2 linked regions of the Tamandua tetradactyla genome follow. The protein of the gene in region 1 purifies or fractionates together with the protein of each later gene. This does not show direct contact. Links are inferred from orthologs where the notes say so. Each region holds a gene or a part of one and is shown on either strand. Other genes may lie near its edges.

The links.
Region 2: the proteins of CAND1 (region 1) and DCUN1D3 purify together in Homo sapiens (affinity purification with western blotting; 3 studies listed by BioGRID, with this or other methods). This does not show direct contact. The link is inferred for Tamandua tetradactyla from reciprocal best matches to the Homo sapiens genes CAND1 and DCUN1D3.

The regions. Positions count from the first base shown.
Region 1 is NC_135333.1:135,242,975-135,251,751, reverse strand, and holds the start of CAND1 (cullin-associated NEDD8-dissociated protein 1), read right to left. Parts: upstream 4,187-8,777; 5' UTR 3,450-4,186; coding exon 3,382-3,449; intron 1-3,381. UniProt on the Homo sapiens protein: Key assembly factor of SCF (SKP1-CUL1-F-box protein) E3 ubiquitin ligase complexes that promotes the exchange of the substrate-recognition F-box subunit in SCF complexes, thereby playing a key role in the cellular repertoire of SCF complexes.
Region 2 is NC_135349.1:36,581,725-36,590,640, forward strand, and holds the start of DCUN1D3 (DCN1-like protein 3), read left to right. Parts: upstream 1-5,130; 5' UTR 5,131-5,231; coding exon of another isoform or gene 5,232-5,394; exon of another isoform or gene 5,395-5,448; intron 5,449-5,479; exon of another isoform or gene 5,480-5,938; intron 5,939-6,161; 5' UTR 6,162-6,237; intron 6,238-8,916. Other genes in the region: LYRM1 (LYR motif-containing protein 1), read right to left, coding at 3,710-3,774, 5,232-5,394. UniProt on the Homo sapiens protein: Contributes to the neddylation of all cullins by transferring NEDD8 from N-terminally acetylated NEDD8-conjugating E2s enzyme to different cullin C-terminal domain-RBX complexes and may play a role in the cell cycle progression by regulating the SCF ubiquitin E3 ligase complex, after UV damage.

The sequences.
Region 1 (8,777 bases):
CTGATATTAAATATTATTTACAGAGAAATAGAAGAATAATAAATGTTTTATTTAGCTCTTGACTCCTTGGAGTAATTTCAGTTGTGGCAAAGCATATGAAATAAAAGTAGAACTTAGTTACTTCTAACCCCTGAATAGTCACTATTAATATTCATATGGGGAGCATCACATGATTTATCCACATTAAAGCTTTAACTCTGATATCTATAAAATTGCCTACCTACTGGCTATATTACTTTATTTTTCCTATTTAATCCTTTATGGAACATGCATCACCAGAAATTCTTAGACTTAAAGTAAATAATATACAGCTTATCTGGAAAAAATAATCTGGGTTCACTGACGGAAGTACGTCTTTTGAGAAGGAAGTGATGAGAAGCAGTGTTTTAAGATAATGTTCTCAAACAATTTTTTTCTTCATTTCTCTTCCAAAAGTTTACTGAACTGACATAATTTAAAAAGTAATAGTAATTTTTCAAAAGACCAAGGACAGTAGCTGATAGGCACTATCCTGGCATAAAGGAAACACAAACGCCCTCTCTTGGAGTCCCTAACCTTGACATTTCTCATTCTATTGTTTCCCCATTTCTCCTAAATCCTAATAGCTCACCTTTGAAGAATGTAGAATATAAAGCACGAAAGAAAAGGGATACTGTGCAATTTTTTCAATAAACTAAGACTATAATTTAAATCCTATAAAAGGAATCTTCAAGAATGCTGAAATGTCAAAATTCTGAACCTTGGGCCCATTTCTTTACATTTTCTCTTAATGGACTATGTAGATACCTAAATAGGGACCTAAAATTGGAGACACATAAGAGATCTTCTGTAATTCCATTGTGCAATCTTTTCAGAAATGACAATTTAATCCCAAATTAGGTAATGTGCCCAGGATCTCACAGATAGTTCATGTCTGCGTTGAGTAGGTCCAATTCTCTGTCATGAGGACCATTTTTTCTTCTTTTGGGAAGCACTATTCTTTTCCTCCCCTTAGCACAAAGAAGATCGTTCTGTACAATGTTAGGCATTCCATAATGTTAGTTTACTCTGGTCATCAAGACCCTCTGTCATAAAGTATTTTAACACATATAGTGACAAATTGTGATGTCTACACCAAATAAATAAATACGTCACTTATGAAAAAAATGTTAAAACAAATGCCTGTACTGAAATTATGCAGAAAATCCTAGAAATACTTGTCTTTAAATGTTCACCATTTTAGTTTATCCTTAAATGTCTGTAGTTTAATATACACAGCACTTTAATTCCAATGATTTGTCTGTTAAATGAATGGCTAGAGTTTTTTTTAAAGTCTTTTAAAAAGTGTTAATAAAAATGATAATGATGCCAAATTACTGGAAGTTATTTACCTTTCCTAAAAACATTTTCTACAATATTCAGCAACTCTTCGAAATATGTCGATATAATTTTAGATGAATAACATATCTTCTAAGAAATGTTTTGAATCATTAAAGCCCAGATTGGGTGATAAACCATTTTAATTTTAGCACTGACTATAATATAACTTAGTATCAGAGGATTAATATTTTTTCATAGAGTTTATAAAATAAAAACAAGCATGTATAAATCTTTACCTGAAGTTTAAGAAGTTATTTAAAGAAGCTTCCCAGTACATAATCACCTATGCAGTATCACCCCATCATGTAATTTCTTTAGTCTTTCTAAGCAAGTTACCAAATACTTGACTACCTTTCTACAGAAACTGACTATAATCAGGATGAAACTTAGCTCTTTTACAGGCTGAGCCAAACTGACAGAAAACGGTGGAAAATCACACCACATATGTTAAATAAATTAGTTATATACGTTCTGTGCAAATGTTTATTTAGATAGGGAGCAAGAAAAACTCCGAAGGAAATCAAACAGCATTTTAATATTTTTTTAAAAAACTTATCTTTCTCCCTTTAGGCTTCTGCTGTAGAGCTACACATATCTAATATTACAAAATAATCAAGTCACTTCCAAATAGTCAAAGCACTAAAATATTTAGTATTAGCAAACGAGTCTTCCCAAGTTTCAAATACAATACTTAAAAAATTTCAGTTAGCCAAACTCTTTAAAAACCATATTTGATTTTGAAGCCACAGAACCAAACTGTATGAACTTCTTTGGTCACTTTACTACACCAGTTCATCAATTTAATTAGGAACGCAATCACTGCTTTTTTTCACGGTTCTACTTGAACAAAACAGAAAATTTCCTTCCTTTGGATAAGATTTAAGCATGTTTCAGGTATATGCTCTTCAGCCATAATATTTAATTGGAGATAGTTTTTCTTTCTTTTAAAATGCACGCAAATTACGACAACCAAGTACTGTGAGAACAAAACTTAAAGGATTAAAAAAATAAAAAACTCTTTTAGATTGAATTATTTAGTAACTAATTTATGAGCGGATGGGAGGTGGAAAGAAAGGAATGTAACAATTAATGGAGGGCAAGAAAGACACCAAGGTAACCGGGAATATTCTTCAACATGCATTTTATCAAGAATTTGGAACCGACAGTTCTAGTTCCCTGGAACAGAACCTCTATAATAAAATTTCATATTCACCAACCTCATATAAGAAAACCCCTCTTTTTTCAAAAAGACCCATTTGCTTGGTTTACTTTTCTGTTTAGGGTTCAGCAATACACCCATTCGGCAGTGATATTGGATATAAATATACTCTACTGAAAACCCAAGTTCAGGCTGAGGTTTAACCTGACAAGGGAAACTGACAGAGATGCTGGCGGGAAAACCTTACAAGCAAAGTTTCCTCTACCCTGGATCCCCTCCCCTCTCTTTACACCTTCTCCGAGAGAGATAATCTAAAGAATATGTATGTAACTCAATCCTCGGAGAACTTAAAAAAGTTCATCTTTCAAGCTGAATTAGCCAGTCCATTCACACCTCCGAGAAGGGAGTCTGCTGCTGGGTCCCCGAGCCGGCAATAGCAAGGGCCCAAGCGGGCTGATCGGCCTAGCGCCTCCGGCAGGCCGGCGGATAGGCCAGGCTGCCCAGTCTCCAGGCCTAGCACTCCCCTTCCCCAACAATAGCAGGTGTCTTCACCCCTTCACGCTACCTGGGACGTGAGAATTACGTCTCGGAGACAGGAAATGCGGTAGGGACGACTGAGGACGTACAGTGAAGGGACCTAGGGCCAGAACGGACAACGGCCTAAAGGAAAAGTGGGGGAGTGAAGTGACGGGGGGCATTCGGAAGGAAAGGGCCGGATAGGATCAGTGAGTGGGTAGGCTGCCGACTTAGGGGAAAACGAGGAAACAGGTTATGCCCCAAAAGGTGCGGCAAGACCAGCGCAGAAGGCCAAGGTCTCGAATGAGGGCCCTTGAGATGGGCTTAGAGACGGATTTCGGACTCACCTGAAGTCCTTGTCGCTGGATGTCATTTTCTCCAACAAATTGGAAATATGGTACGAGGCGCTCGCCATGTTGACGGCCTCGATCCCGCCCGCCGCCGCTGCTGCTGCTGGGGCTCCTCCTTTCGCTCGCGGCGGTTCCCGCTCCCAGGGTCGCAACGCGACGCCGACGCTGACTAGGGAGGCGCCTAGGAAGGCTACCCCCTCCCCGGCGAAGCGTGGGCCTGTCCCGAGGGAAGCAAAGGATACGGTGCCGACCTAACGACGGCGCTGCTCGCGGGAGGACGAGGCCATGAGAGGCGGGGAAATACAGCAAGGCCGCTCCAGAGATCCAGACACTTCCACTGAGGCCTGCCTGGCTCTCACTCTGCGAATTCGCTCCGTGGAGCAAGCGGCCAAAACCCGCCTCCTTTCCAGCGGGGGCGGGAGTGACAGACGCGGGACGCTACGGAAAGCCCGGGTCAAGGTTCACGTAGGCCCCTCCACGCACGCTTCAGAGACGCTAGTTAAAGGGCACTCCTATTGGCTGATGTCTAAGTCAGTCTTCGCTTGAACGGCCTTTTTGGAGGCATGACTACGAGCAAACTGGGATGTTCTCGCGATACTTTAAAGCAACGGTTAAAGGAGAGAGGCGAGCACTACTCTGAAAATAATTTGAAGACTGTTTGTGTATGGCATTAAGAAAATAAAGTTTACGATTTTTAAGGATCATAAGATTTGAGATTAGTGCTAGTTAAGATATTAGCCTCGATAAGAACAAAAGAATTATTAGCGGGAGCTCTCCTTTCGATTTGACGCGTGGCCTTTCATCGTGGTGTAATAATGCCACGTGAAAACCACAAATCCCAGAATTCAGTCGGGGTAGCACTGGGTCAGAGTGTCATTGGCTGCAGGAACTTATAGCGTCCTAATTGGGTTCCGTGGGAGGAGTAACTGCTGGGATTTGCAGTCTGGCAAGGCAGCAGTGCTAGATGGAATCTTTGAATCACCACGTGCTGGGTTTTTGCGGCTAATTCGGGTTTCTCCTAACAGACTTTCTTGTTTAGGGATGTTTGCAGAATTGGCTGTAGCAGTTTGGGAAGGGGCATTACGGATTCATGAATCCTGGTATTCTTAGCAGAGGCCTTTAGCGACTAACAATATCCTCATCCTCAAAAGGCCACTGAGCCCGCCAGCTCGCCCTCCTTGCCTGCTGGACACACTGACCTCTTGCCATCGTGGAGCACCTCCCTACAGCAAGCAGGACCGTATTAAAACTAATGGGCCAACGACAGGTGATTGTATTCGAAGCCTACCCGTTTTTTTCAGAACAGCTAAAAGACTACCTTCTATAGTCAGTTGTTATATAGTTGATAATCCTGCAGCTGTGTATTTTATTGTCCCCCAAATATACACAAAAAGCCTTCGGAGATTAGATATTCAAATCATTTGTTTTATTATCCAAGTTTTTATCTACTTAATACTTTGGATTTTGAGATAAATTTTGTCACCAAGAGATAAACACCTAAAACTTTGTTATGGATTTGAGGTAGGTAGAATTGGAGCTAGCTGACACACTTTTCTAAAAGAAAAAGTAGAGAGGGCAGTGAAGGGAGAAGGAAAATGATGTCTCGTTGTTTCTCCTCTTGTTTAAAAAAAAAAGCCTTTAAATAGCTCCCTACTTCTAAGTACGTCAAAACAAATAAAATCTACCATTTCTTTATCTTTCTTTCAACTACATTCGTTAAATATTATTGTTTCTAAAAGCCAGGTACTGTTATAGGCAATGACAGTTAACACAACATAGGAAATCTGATCTGGCCTCACATTATATACCTAAATTCCTCTCATTACCCTTTGTCTATCCCCATGTATGTTTTTACTTTAATACTATTTTCCTCCCCGGTGATACCATAGCTCTTTCCTCATTTTACTTAGGTCTACCATCATTAGGACTTCTTTAATGAAACATTTCCTGAGTGCTCCAGCCAAATTAATTCCCTTCTGCTCTGAACAGTCCTTAATAATATACTAAACAATATTAATAATTACAATATTAATAATATTAAACAATAGTAATAATATTGAACAGTCAAATAATATTTAATAAGCTGTACATACACATCACACGCACAAACAGGCCATTTTTCTTGTGTGGACTCCAAGGCTTAAAATCTTAGGCATCTGGTGGTAACCCTTTTAACCTATATCCAATCAGACACAAGTCATCTTTTGTCCTTTTTCATGTGTAAATCCTTGCATTTATCAGTTTCCATCTGAAATATATTTGGAGTCAGAGAACTTAAATATAAATATTTGTGCCGATTGGTTGCTATTTTAGGTAGTTCATTTTAATCTCTCTGAGCCCTCAGTATCTTCAAGCTAAGGAAATGATTGGGCAATTAATCTTCAGGGCTGGGGGTTTTTTGTTTTTTTGGCATTTGAAGGCTCTGGAAATCCAACCGCATCTCCGTCATGACAGGAGAGAATTCTACCACTGAGCTCCCTTGCACCCCCCTTTCAGAGCTATTTTAAGAGTTAAATAAGATATCCCATATAAGTCCTTAGCATTTGACCTGGAACACAATAATAATATTTATACCTAATACATCTTGCACACTTAGAAAGGTACAGAAAAACATCTAATAAAAGTTAGCTATCATTATTATATTCTTTCAGGCTTTTGTTCCTATTCCCAAACCATTCTACACAGCCAGTTTAGGGTTGTCCAAAACGTTTTTGTAGTGTTACCTATTTAACACATTATATCTTTCTACTGCAGAATAAAGTCCATATGTTTTAGCAATCAGTGCCTCCATCTGACCCTAATCATTTATATTTTACCTTTCTCCCATTATTCTAATACAAGAATTGCCCCCACCAGCTTTTTATTTTTTATTTTATCTTTTTGTTTTTGTTTGTTTTGAGTCCCTCTAAAGACCCAACTACAAGTCTTCGGTACATAGTTATAATAAAAAAAGTTATGGATCAAGCACTGTATTAATTTATTTAATCCTCAGAACAACTCTATGAAATTATACATTTTAAGTATAAAGGCATAAGTATCAGGCATGAAGAGGTTAAGTAACTTACTAAAAGTCACCAACAAGGTTCAATTAGAATTCAAAACTAAGCAATGTTGCTTCATAGCTCAAACTTCGAACTGCTACTCTAGAATTCTTCTCCCAGCCTGGAAGGCGTTCCCTCTCCTCTATCCCTCTTTTTACGGTCTTGAACCAATCACAGTGTTTATAAGTTCACTACCACTAAAGCATAAGTTCTTTAAGAGTGTGTACCATCTTTTCCCTTTTGGGGAATGGTGAGAAAAGAGGGAAATATTCAACTTCCCTATTTGGAGAATTTCTGATATTCTCGCAAGCAGTGGGAACAACCAAATCAATAGGCGGAGCCCTGGATCTTGTTGTTTGCCCCTATGAAACTTATCCCTGCAAAGGATAGGCTAAACCTACTTAAAATTAGGCCTAAGAGAGGATACATAGGTAGTTTAGTAGTTAGAATGCCTGCCTTCCATGTGGGAAACTCGGGTTAGATTCCCAGACCATGCACCCCAGAAAAAAAAAAAAGTAAAAATTAAAAAATTAGACCTAAGAGTCACTCTCAGAGAACCTCTTTTGCTGCTCGAATGTGGCCTCTCTCTCTAAGCCCACACAGCAAACGAACTCAGTCTTCCCCCTCTACATGGAACATGACTCCCAGGGATCAATCCTCCCTGATAACATGGGACAGAAATCCTGGGATGAGCTGGGACTCAGCATCAAGGGATTGAGAAAACCTTCTCGACCAAAAAGAAGAAGAGAGAAATGAGACAAAATAAACTCAGTGGCTAAGAATTTCAAGCAGAGTTGAGAGGTTATCCTGGAGGTTATCATTATGCATTATATAGATATCCCCTTTTTAGTTCATCATGTATTAGAGAGGCTAGAGAGAAGTGCCTGAAAATGTAGAGCTGTGTTCCAGTAGCCATGTTTCTTGAAGATGATTGTATAATGATATAGCTTTTACAGTGTAACTGTGTGATTGTGAAAACCTTGTGTCTGAAGCTCCTTTTATTTACAGTATGGATAGATGAGTGAAAAATCTGAATAAAAAATAAATAATAGAGGGAACAAAGGTTAAAATAAATTGAGTAGATTGAAATACTAGTGGTCAATGAAAGGAAGGGGTAAGGGGTATGGTATGTATGAGTTTTTTCTTTTTTCTTTTTTCTTTCTTTTGCCGGAGAGATGCGATGTTCAAAAAAATGATCATGGTGATGAATACACAACTATGTGATAATATTGATCGTATACCATGTATAGAATGTTCTATGTCAACAATATTTATATGTTTGTTATTCTTTACAATTTAAAAAAAAAGAGTATGTACCATCTTTAAACCCCTTCTGCTTCTTTCAGGTACTTAGTTATGGCAAGTTTGTAATGGGCGCTAATAGTATTTAATTTTTTGTATTCTTGACCACTTAGAGATTTAATTTTTATATCACTTAATATAGAATGTTATTAAACAGTGGAGTAGTGCTTTCACTTAAGGATCTGTTAATGCTAAATTAATTTTAGGTACAAAAGGAAATAAGTCTGAATAAGGCTAACCTCCAAGAGTTTTTTTTCCAGTCAGTGGTCATAAAAGAAAATTAAGATGAGAGAGCAGGAAAAATTGAATCCTTCAAGATGTCGTGAGTTTCTTTTAATATTAAACAGTAGTTTGGCTTAGTTACAAACACTTACTGACTGCTGACACAATGCCAGGCACTGAACTGTACAGTAGGGATGTAAAGGTGAATAAGACATATTCCTTAACCTTGAAGACCTTTCATGTTGATCAAATCTTAAATTTCATATTAAAAAATTACTGTATTTTAGGCAAAACTAAGAAAAATTCTCACCCTAAGTATATAATCAGAATAGTTTTCTATTTATGTTCTATATTGAAAATAAGGAATAGATGTTAAATAGATGCATTGTATTTAAAATTTTAATTATGGTAGAATTGAGGTGAGATGAATATTAAGAAATACATATCCATAAAGAAAGGACAATGAAAATGTTATGTAATTGAGTCATTGAGTTATCTGAACTTGTTGGGTTACCAATTTGAAATGTTGTCTAGTTATTTTGTTTATTAGGTACCCTGTCAAATATTTTCCATTGCCTTTAGTGATATCTTAGACCCCCTAACTTTCTAGACCCTTCAGTGTTAAAAGTCCAATCCAGTTTAGTCCAAAGGCCAGCTAAATATCCCCTTCTACTTCTAGATCCTCTAAGGTTGAGGAGAATGGCAAAGGAAAAGATAAGAGATGAGGCAAATTTTCTTTATTTAATTGGTATAGTTACAGTTCTCTTTTGACTGTTTGCCTGACAGCTGAATGTGACTCTTTGGTAAGAGACAGCACTGTAAGTTACT
Region 2 (8,916 bases), on another chromosome or scaffold:
TATTTTTCTGGGGGTAGGCCTAGTTCCATCTAGGGTAATAAAAGATACTGATAGAACCTACACTCTTAGTTCTAAGGTCACTGGCTATGACCACTAGACTAAAATGCTTTACCATGTTTCTGTGATGCTTAAAACCAAACAGGTAGAAAAATGGGGTTCTCACACATTTTTCCTTGAAAATAATTCTTTGGGGAATAATGTCTATTGTATCCAATGATCAGAGTTCAAAACAACCCAGAAAATTGCAATTTAAAGCTTTTGTCAATTTAGAAACCTCTAGAGAACTGAAGTACTCTTAATAATGCCAAAGCAATCAGGTTTTTTTGCTCTGGACAGCACAATAGGAAATGACTGTCTTGGTTTTAGGCACTTAAAGTTTCCCACATTTGTACAAGACAGGAAAATATAATACAGAGAATGAATGCAGGAGTTCTGGGATGGTCAAGCCTGGGTTGGAATCCTGACTTCACCCCAAAGACATGTTTTTAACCTTCAGTTTCAGTTTCTTAAAAAAATGTAAACTCTTCTTCAAAAAGTTATTCTAAGGATTATTCATGAGATAATTCACTTAGCACTGTGAGTTAAAGGCAAAAGTTACTAGAATGGGAGGAAATAAAGGAGCAACAATAAAGCCTTTTATCTATCCAGTGCTTTGTCTGCAGAAGAGGGAAAAGCAAAGTGTTGTCTGTTGGCCAATTTACTGCTCTGTGTTAGTAATGGATTTTCCTAATGCCCTTTCCCTCTGATCATTAATAATCCTTGTACAGTAAAGGGCTATTGTTCTTTAGTATGAGTAAATAGCCCTATTGCAGGCACTGTTTTATCTTCAGACTACAGCTCATGCTTCTTACTGGAAATACAATGCAGGTGCCAACACCAAAAGCATCATCACACTTCCCTATTTTCTTTCCTTTATCTCTTACTCCTCCCTTATTCTGTGGTGTGCTTCCCCCCCAGATCTGATACACTCATTACTTTTTAGCATACAACCTGTATCCTATATTGCGTCATCTTTATCCAAAGCGAACAATGTTCCCGTTAAACGGCATCTCACATATCCCTGTTTTCTTTACCCCCTCTTCCCATCCCTATCAATTAACATGTGCAACACACACACACACACCATAGGCTTGTTTCCTGTCTTGGATTCAATTATTGGTTCCTAGAATATAAAAAGGGAAGTGTTGCCACACAGTATTTTGCAAATCTCAGAATATGCTGTGTGGACTTAATCATACCACAGCTATTCTCTGAAACAGCATCTTTTTACACAGAAAGTGACAAGAATAGGGTGTGTCAGAGACAGGGGGCAGTGAGGAAAGGGTAGATTGTATTTTTATTTCACTTAAAAGAAAAGAAATTAGGTTAGGCTCTGTGAAAAGGGAAATCTTCAGAATACAGGGAAAAACAAAATATTTTCATGTCTGACAGACTGCTAAAATAACTATTCCAAACAAGAGCATATGAGGGAAGTACACCCATTCTAAATATACCATGTCAGTAACTGAAGCAGACGCAAGATTACACTTGGGTAGGGGAAACTCCAATAAAGCTACTGTAACCAGGAAAGAACAGCTATTTCTTCCCTCAGGGATAGAAATACTGAATGGAAACCAAGATTCGGTCTCTCAATTTTAAAAAGTAATGGAAATATCTGTTTCCTTATCAGTATATTTTAAAAGACAAAGGTCAGGGAAGGGTCAGTGGATGGTGAGAAGTAGAAGACAGCCTAAGAGGTTTATGGGAGGGGCTGGAAAAAAAGAGGAAATGGAGGCCAACCCCACTCCTTGGTTCATAACTACTAAGCTGGGATCTCTGACCCTCCACAGGATCTAGGAAAGTCAGAGAGGACAAAAAATGAATATCCCCCCTCACCCCCATCCTTCTCTTTAATCATTAACAGCCCTGGAACTAAGGGGCTCAGACAAGAGTGCACCTTTGCTGTGAACAAAAATCATCTGTGCCTGAACTAATAGGACTGGAGGTTTTGCCTGGGTCCTGTATAGGTGACAAATCAAACATTGCTTCTATTCTCCAGGGACTTAGTCTAGTGAAGAGCTTCAGTGCCTCTGCAGGTGAGAATAGTTGCTTAATAATTATTTGATAGGTAGAAGGTACTTGGAAGCTGTTATGAAGGCAAGGACCCCTGCACAGAGAACCGTTATTTATCAAATACTTACATTGAGGGTCAAGTGCTAGAAAGTCACTCCAGCAGCTTGTAGAGTTAGAACTGAAGCCCTTTTGACATTTCATATTCCAATTCCTTAAAATTGCACAGAATGACTAGCACCCAGGACTTAGAGGTCCTCTGGCACAGTTTTGGCCAAAAGAACTTACGACGGTAGCTATTGGGTACTTGTGGTTAGTGCATCTAAAGAACTGAATTTTAAATTTTATTTAATTGTTAAATTTAAATAGTCACAGGCTGCTGGGGGCTACATATCAGACAACACAGCTCTAGACCAAGGGATACAATTCAAAATACCCATTGAGTCTCTGGACCAGATAAGTCCTCAAATGCAGAAGGGCCAGCCTCTTCAGAACATCAACACATCAACTAGTTCCGTCCCCCTATTCCATATTATTGGACAGTTCCTTCCAACCTGAAAAAGTTAGAATGGGCATAGCTCAAATACCCCTAAAGAGCTGGAGAAAGATCAAAGGTGATGGTGGAGTTATACAGAGAAGTTAGGGTTTAACAAATGGGTATGAATCATTATACTGATATTTCTTTTATTCTCCAATATATTAAAGCAGCTAGAAGTAAAAACCTAAAATTGTGGAATGGTAACCCATATCAAACTCTGAAATCTGATCTACAACTAATTGTTGCAATGTACTTTGACATTTATTGCTTTTTTTGTATATGCTGTTTATCACAATAAAGAAAAAAAAGTTTATTGTGATGATAAATGCAGTTATATGATACTGTGAACCACTTATTGTACACTTTGGATGATTACATGGTATGTGAATATATAATATGTATCAATTTTAAAAAGAGCTATTTAAAAAAATGACCCCAGCGGTTTTTTGACTGACTACATAAATCTCTTTTCTTTGAAAAATAAAAAAAAATCACCCATAGGGCCAGTTGGTAAGTTACTGCAAACTCAAGAATGAGTCACGTGCAAGTGGGGAAGTAGTTCATTTGATGTGTAGGAGCCTCATGCCTGTTGCTGCCAGATTGATTTTTCAAAAGAGGCTGAAAATCCGGACTTTGATGTCCAATTTTTTAAAGTTGGCAAGTAAATTACAAAGAATTGTAATCACTTTGTGGGCTGAACAATGTTTGTGGGCAGAACCTGTCTTGCGAGTCTGCAATCTCTAACATAGGCCAACTCCATCAGCTCAAAGAATGGTAAGGCCATTCTTTTAGCTGGTCTTCTGATAGACACCCTTTCCCATTATCTCATGAGATTGGCTATATCTAGATTGTGATGGTGGTGATAGTGGCAGCAGTGGCAGGGACAAAAACCCCTTTATCAGAAGCTGTCAAATTCCATGGCTGATAATTTATGAATGCAGAGTTCTTAACTGTTTTGTTCCTACCAAGCTACAGCCACATGATGTACAAGGCTCTGTATCCTTAGGGGCCAGCAGGACACAAAGACAGTTCCTGTTCTCAAAGAGCTTAGGGTCCATGGGGGAGACAGACATATAAACAAATAATATGTAAAGTCAGGCTTGCTATAATGGAGGCAATTACCTGTGCAGAAGTCCAAAAGCACTGACACCTGGGAGAGGAAGAGAGGACAGAGACTTGAGGCAGACCTTAGAGGATGAGTAGAATCTGGTCAGTCAGGGGATGTTTCACTGATTAGAAGGATGGGTCCCATTATTCCAGGATTTGAAGGGGTCTTCCTCTTGTACTTGAGGCCTTGTCTGCATCAAAGTCTCCTTTTCTGGCTTCTTTTACTCCGTGTAACCTCTAAATGCTGAGAATCCAGGAAATTTAGCCTGGGCTTTCCTCTTTTCTTTGCCTCTTTCTAGATGATCTATACTGACAACCCCCACATTTGTAATCTCCAACTATGACTTTTCCCCTAATTTGTATATCTAATTTCTTAACATTTTCTCTTTGATGGCTAGTGGACTTATCAAACTGTGATACATGAATCCAAAGATTGACTCCCTGGCATGTCACTGCTGTAGTTGTACTCCAGTAAAACCTAATATATTCAAAAGAGAACTTGTAATATTCTTTTCCAAACTGTTTTCTTTCTGGTCTTCCCCAATAGGAATCATTCTTGATGTTTCCTTCTCCCATACACCTTAAGTCCAATTTGGCAGCAAATCCTGCAAGCTTTACCTCCAAAACATATTCTCAATATAATGCTATTTCTACATGACCAGTATCACCTCTCCCTAGGCCCACTGCAACCGCCTCCCAACAGGTCTGACTGTTACCACCCTTCTCTATCCAGCAGCCGGAGTGATGCTTTAAAGATTTAAACCTGGTCTCTCCCCTTACCGTGGCCTAAAAAGCCTGGCTACTTCATCACAGACCACAATGCCCCTTGCTTTCTGCTTCAACCACAAAACCTTCCCGACTCCAATTCCTTCCTTAGAACTTTTCTGCTGGCTCGAGTCTCCATGTAGAGAGCTTTTCTCCTGTCTTTCCACTGCTCTCATTCTGGGCAAAAGCGTCGCCTGCTCTGAACAACCTTAACTGATTTAGAGTAGGCCTTTACCCTTTTGTCATTTCACTCGGTATTACTGTTTTGGGGGACATTTCTCACTTGCTGATATCTTGTTTATTGATTTACATGTTAACTCTCTTACTCGAATGGAAAGTCATGGATCAAGGCTTTTGTCTTGTTCTTAGGTTTGTGCTGGAGGAAACTATGAAGCTGGTGCTCACTTGTCCTAGAATGTTTCTGCTCCTCTACGGGGCCTCGTTTAGGTCAACTTTCCCTAGCCAGACACCTCCTGCTCCCAGCACGCTGGGAAGGGAATCGCCCCTACATCTGTCATTTATATTCAGTAATCTAAAAGATTCAGAAGTTTCAGATGAGCCCCAAACCAGGCCTCCCCTTCCTGGCCCACTGAGGCAGTTTCCCAAGGCCAGAGGCGATGACACCCAGCCGCCCCCGCGAGGCTGGGGTCACACAAGCGAGTCTCCTAGCAACGCCGCGTCCCCACCCCCAACCCATCCCTAACCCCGGGAAGCCACCTCCTTCCCCCAGTGTCCCGCTCCTGGAGTCAGCATCTCCATCCCCTACACTCACTCTGCGTCAGTCCTGCCTTTCCCCCACCCACAGAAGTGCCAAAGCCCCCGGCGGGCTGCGAAGAGGCCGCGCCGAGAGCCCAGTAGAGCACGGTGGACAGAGCTCTGGCACGTCCGGTAGGCCAAGTCGGACCAAACCAGTTGGCGGACCTCTGTGGGAGCATACTCCCACCTCAGGATTAGTTTCAATCCTCCGTGAACTTCTAACTTTACCCCACCCTCAGACTTATACTCAACAATATAGCCAACCTTATCCTCTCCCTATTTTTCTCTTGACCTCTTTCGCCATCCTTTTCCCTTCCCCCCCTTCCAGCTAAAAGAGTGGTCCAGTCCAGCTCCTCCTAGCCCTCTCTCCTCGCGGCTAGGTCTTTACCCTTACTTGGCGACGGCTTCGTACGTCGCTGCGTACGTCATGACGCAACCTTCCACCCTCCCCGCCCCTCTCCTCTCTATTCTCCCTCCTGGAACCGGCAGCCGGTGGGGTTACCGGAAGTGATGATGCAGGAGGCGATGGAGGGGGCGGGGCCTCAGGGCGGCCGCCGCCGGTGGGCCGCAGATGAAGAGGAGGCGGTGGCAGTGTGGAAGAAGAGGCGGCGGCGGTGGGGGTAGGGAGCCTGGGAACGCAAGCGGGTATGGTAGGTGGCTTGGGCCCGCCGGGCCGCCGTCGTTTCCAGAAAGGGTTTGACTGGAGGAACCTCTGGAGCAGCTGTGAGTTTGAGGGGAGTGAGGAAAAGGGGGGAGCGTTGAGAACTGAAGGGGCGGGGGTTGGGTACCATCGAGAAGGGGGTGGTAGTGGTGGAAGGGGAGGAGTGGAAATCAGTGCCTGGTCCGGACTGGTCTCTCTGGAAGAAGAGGCTGTGAGGGGAGCCTGTGGCGTGTCAGCCGCAGAGCTCAGAAAACTTACCTACTGTCCCTATCTCCCTACCGCCAGTACCCCTCAACCCAGTGCTTGGGAATCCGGGGCCGGAGCTGCCCCGAAGGAGGTGCAGACTGGTCCTGTGCCCCGGGTAAGTCCTGAGAGATGGTGGGTGAGTCTCCCGCTCCCTCCGCCCTCATTTTCCTCCCCACCCCCATCCTTCTCTTTAATCATTAACAGCCCTGGAATTAAGGGGCTCAGACCTGAAGACCTGTCTGTACACCTTTGCTATGAACGATAACCATCTGTGCCTGAGGTTAATAGCACTGGAGGTTTTGCCTGTATCCTGTTTAGGAAGTGGACAGGGTGACAAATATTTTTTCCACTCCTCTCACCCCTTCTCCTCCCCTTCGTTTCCACTTTAATTCACTGTGGCTGGGTGGCAATCGTATTTGTTGTTGTTGTTGTTGTTTAACTGGCACTTAATGTCTTGGTTACTTCTTTTAAATTTGGTGTTCAGCCCCTACCCCAGCTCTTAACTGCAAGCTTTGTTATACTTCAGTTAATAGTTTTCACATTGGGAGTACCTCTCAATGCCTGGTAGGTCCCGATTATAACGAGCATTTTCTTCTATGAATACTGGAATTCCAAAGCCCTGCAAGGATTCCTAAATGGTATTATAGTCCAGGAATCAAGGTCTCTTGCCTTGAATAGTTTGTGTGGGAAATTTACATGTGATCAATTCTTTACAAAATGATTTGATGTTGGTCTAATTCTGGTTTTCTGTGTTTCTCTCCACCCACACTTGATTATGCACTTCAGAGAATAGAAAAACCCCATATTACTTTTTTGTTTCCACAATTGGACAGTAGCACTTTTATCTCTCCATAAGTGTGTCTGGCACACGAGTGTCCAGTGATACTTGACTTTGCTGCTTCCCATCATATTTAGCTGATTTTTGTGTATACGGTGGTCTTAAATGAGAAGGTATGATTTGTTTAGTTTTGTTTTAAAGAAGACTAAAATTAGTGAAAAGTTGTTTTCAGAAAACAAAGAATGATTGGAGAGAAGGTCTCTTTGTTGATATTGTTGGTTTAAAAAATATCACCAAGTAACTCCTCTATCCTGTCATACATATTTCATAGTGAAGCATAATTCCTGTTTTGGCGTTATTTTCTTTGGAAATCCTCTGTGTAGTCTGGAACTGTGCTTTCTGAAGAACTTTAAAAAAAGTGCTCGAATTTTAGGGGTCTTTTGATTAGCACGTGTCCATAAATTCTCCTTCTGTATAACTGACTTTGATGTGTGTATGGCTAGAAGTATTATTTTAGTGGGATTCTGATGCTGTGAACCCTCTCCCCCCCCCCCAACTTATCAGTGATCACAGGCCTTGACAGAACAGAATGTTTAGTGCCTGGTATTGTGCAAAAACAATGTGGTTGTTAGTTGTTAGAAAAGAATGACGAGTTGAACTGAACTAATTGATTGGTAACCATGTTTGCCATTGAATAAAAAGGCCAATGTTCATTCATTCAACAACAAACATTTATTGAATGAATACTGAGTGCTAGCCTATTTATGCACTGGGCATACACAGCAAAAGTTCCTTGCTCTCATGGAACTTATATGGGATGGGAGGGATAGGGCTGGACAGACAATAAATAAATAAATAAATCAGATTTTGATAAGTGCTGAATGAAATAAAAGTGATGTGATAGAAAGTGTCTGAAAAGGATGTAGTCAAGGAAGACCTTTCCTAGGAGGTGATATCTAAGTAAGCTTTAAATTTAAAGGAGCCAGCCGTGCATGGATAAGGGGAAGAGCCTTCCAGGTTGAGGGAACAGCTAGTGCAAAAACTGGCTGGAATGAGGTTGTCATAATCCAGAGACTGGGGAAAGGGGGTGTGAGTGAGATGGGGGATGGGGAGATGAGGAAGGAGGTGGCAGTAATAGTCAAAGCTTGGTGAGCAAAGGGAAAGAATGAAAAGAGACAAGGTCTGAGAGGTGAGGATGGGGCTCAGAATAGCTTGGCAAAATAAAGAGCAAGCAGGGGAAGGAAGTAGAAAATTGATGGTCCTTTTTGATTAATTCTATCAGTTTTCCTAGAGTCTTACTGCTTACTTTTTTTGCAGGTACTATTATTAGTCTATTGTAATAAAAAGTCACCCTGCTGAGAGTGGGAGAGGGAAAGGCATTGGTCACCTGGTTTTCTTCTGGCAGATAAACCTATTTTTGAAGACCTATGTGTTCAAAATTCAGTGGCATGTTCGATTGAGGGCATACCTTTTTTCATTAAGGGATTATGTATTATATGCTGTTATTTTAAATCGCATAGTAAATATTCTGAATTTGTTGTAGTATAGGAATCCTCCTTTTCTTTCAGTTCTGTGTGAATTTAGGGTTGAAGGATTGGGCAGGTGATAATAATTTGCCCTTCTTGGTCTACAAAGATGACCATCAGGATCTAAGTTTGAAGTTTTTTTTTGTAGGAAGGCAGTTCTTGCATAACAGCTCACTCTGGTCTGGTCCTTCTGATGACATACAGTATTCTGAGGAGGTGTATGTTGATGCTAGCAGTTTACTCAGGATTACATTAGGTAAATGGCCATTATAGGGCTAAATTCCACCACGTTGGCATCTTTGGGCTGTGCTGTAACCAAGGGATGTAACTTATTTTTGCCTTTAGTTGTGGCCATTCATCTTAAATTGTCCTCAGCTTTTCAGCTTCACCTTAACCAGATTGTCCACTTAGCAGAGGCCCAATCAAGATTTCTTATTATTTTGGCTCTCTTGGGCCATGACACAGTAGGTCAAAGCAGAAAGGATTTGCT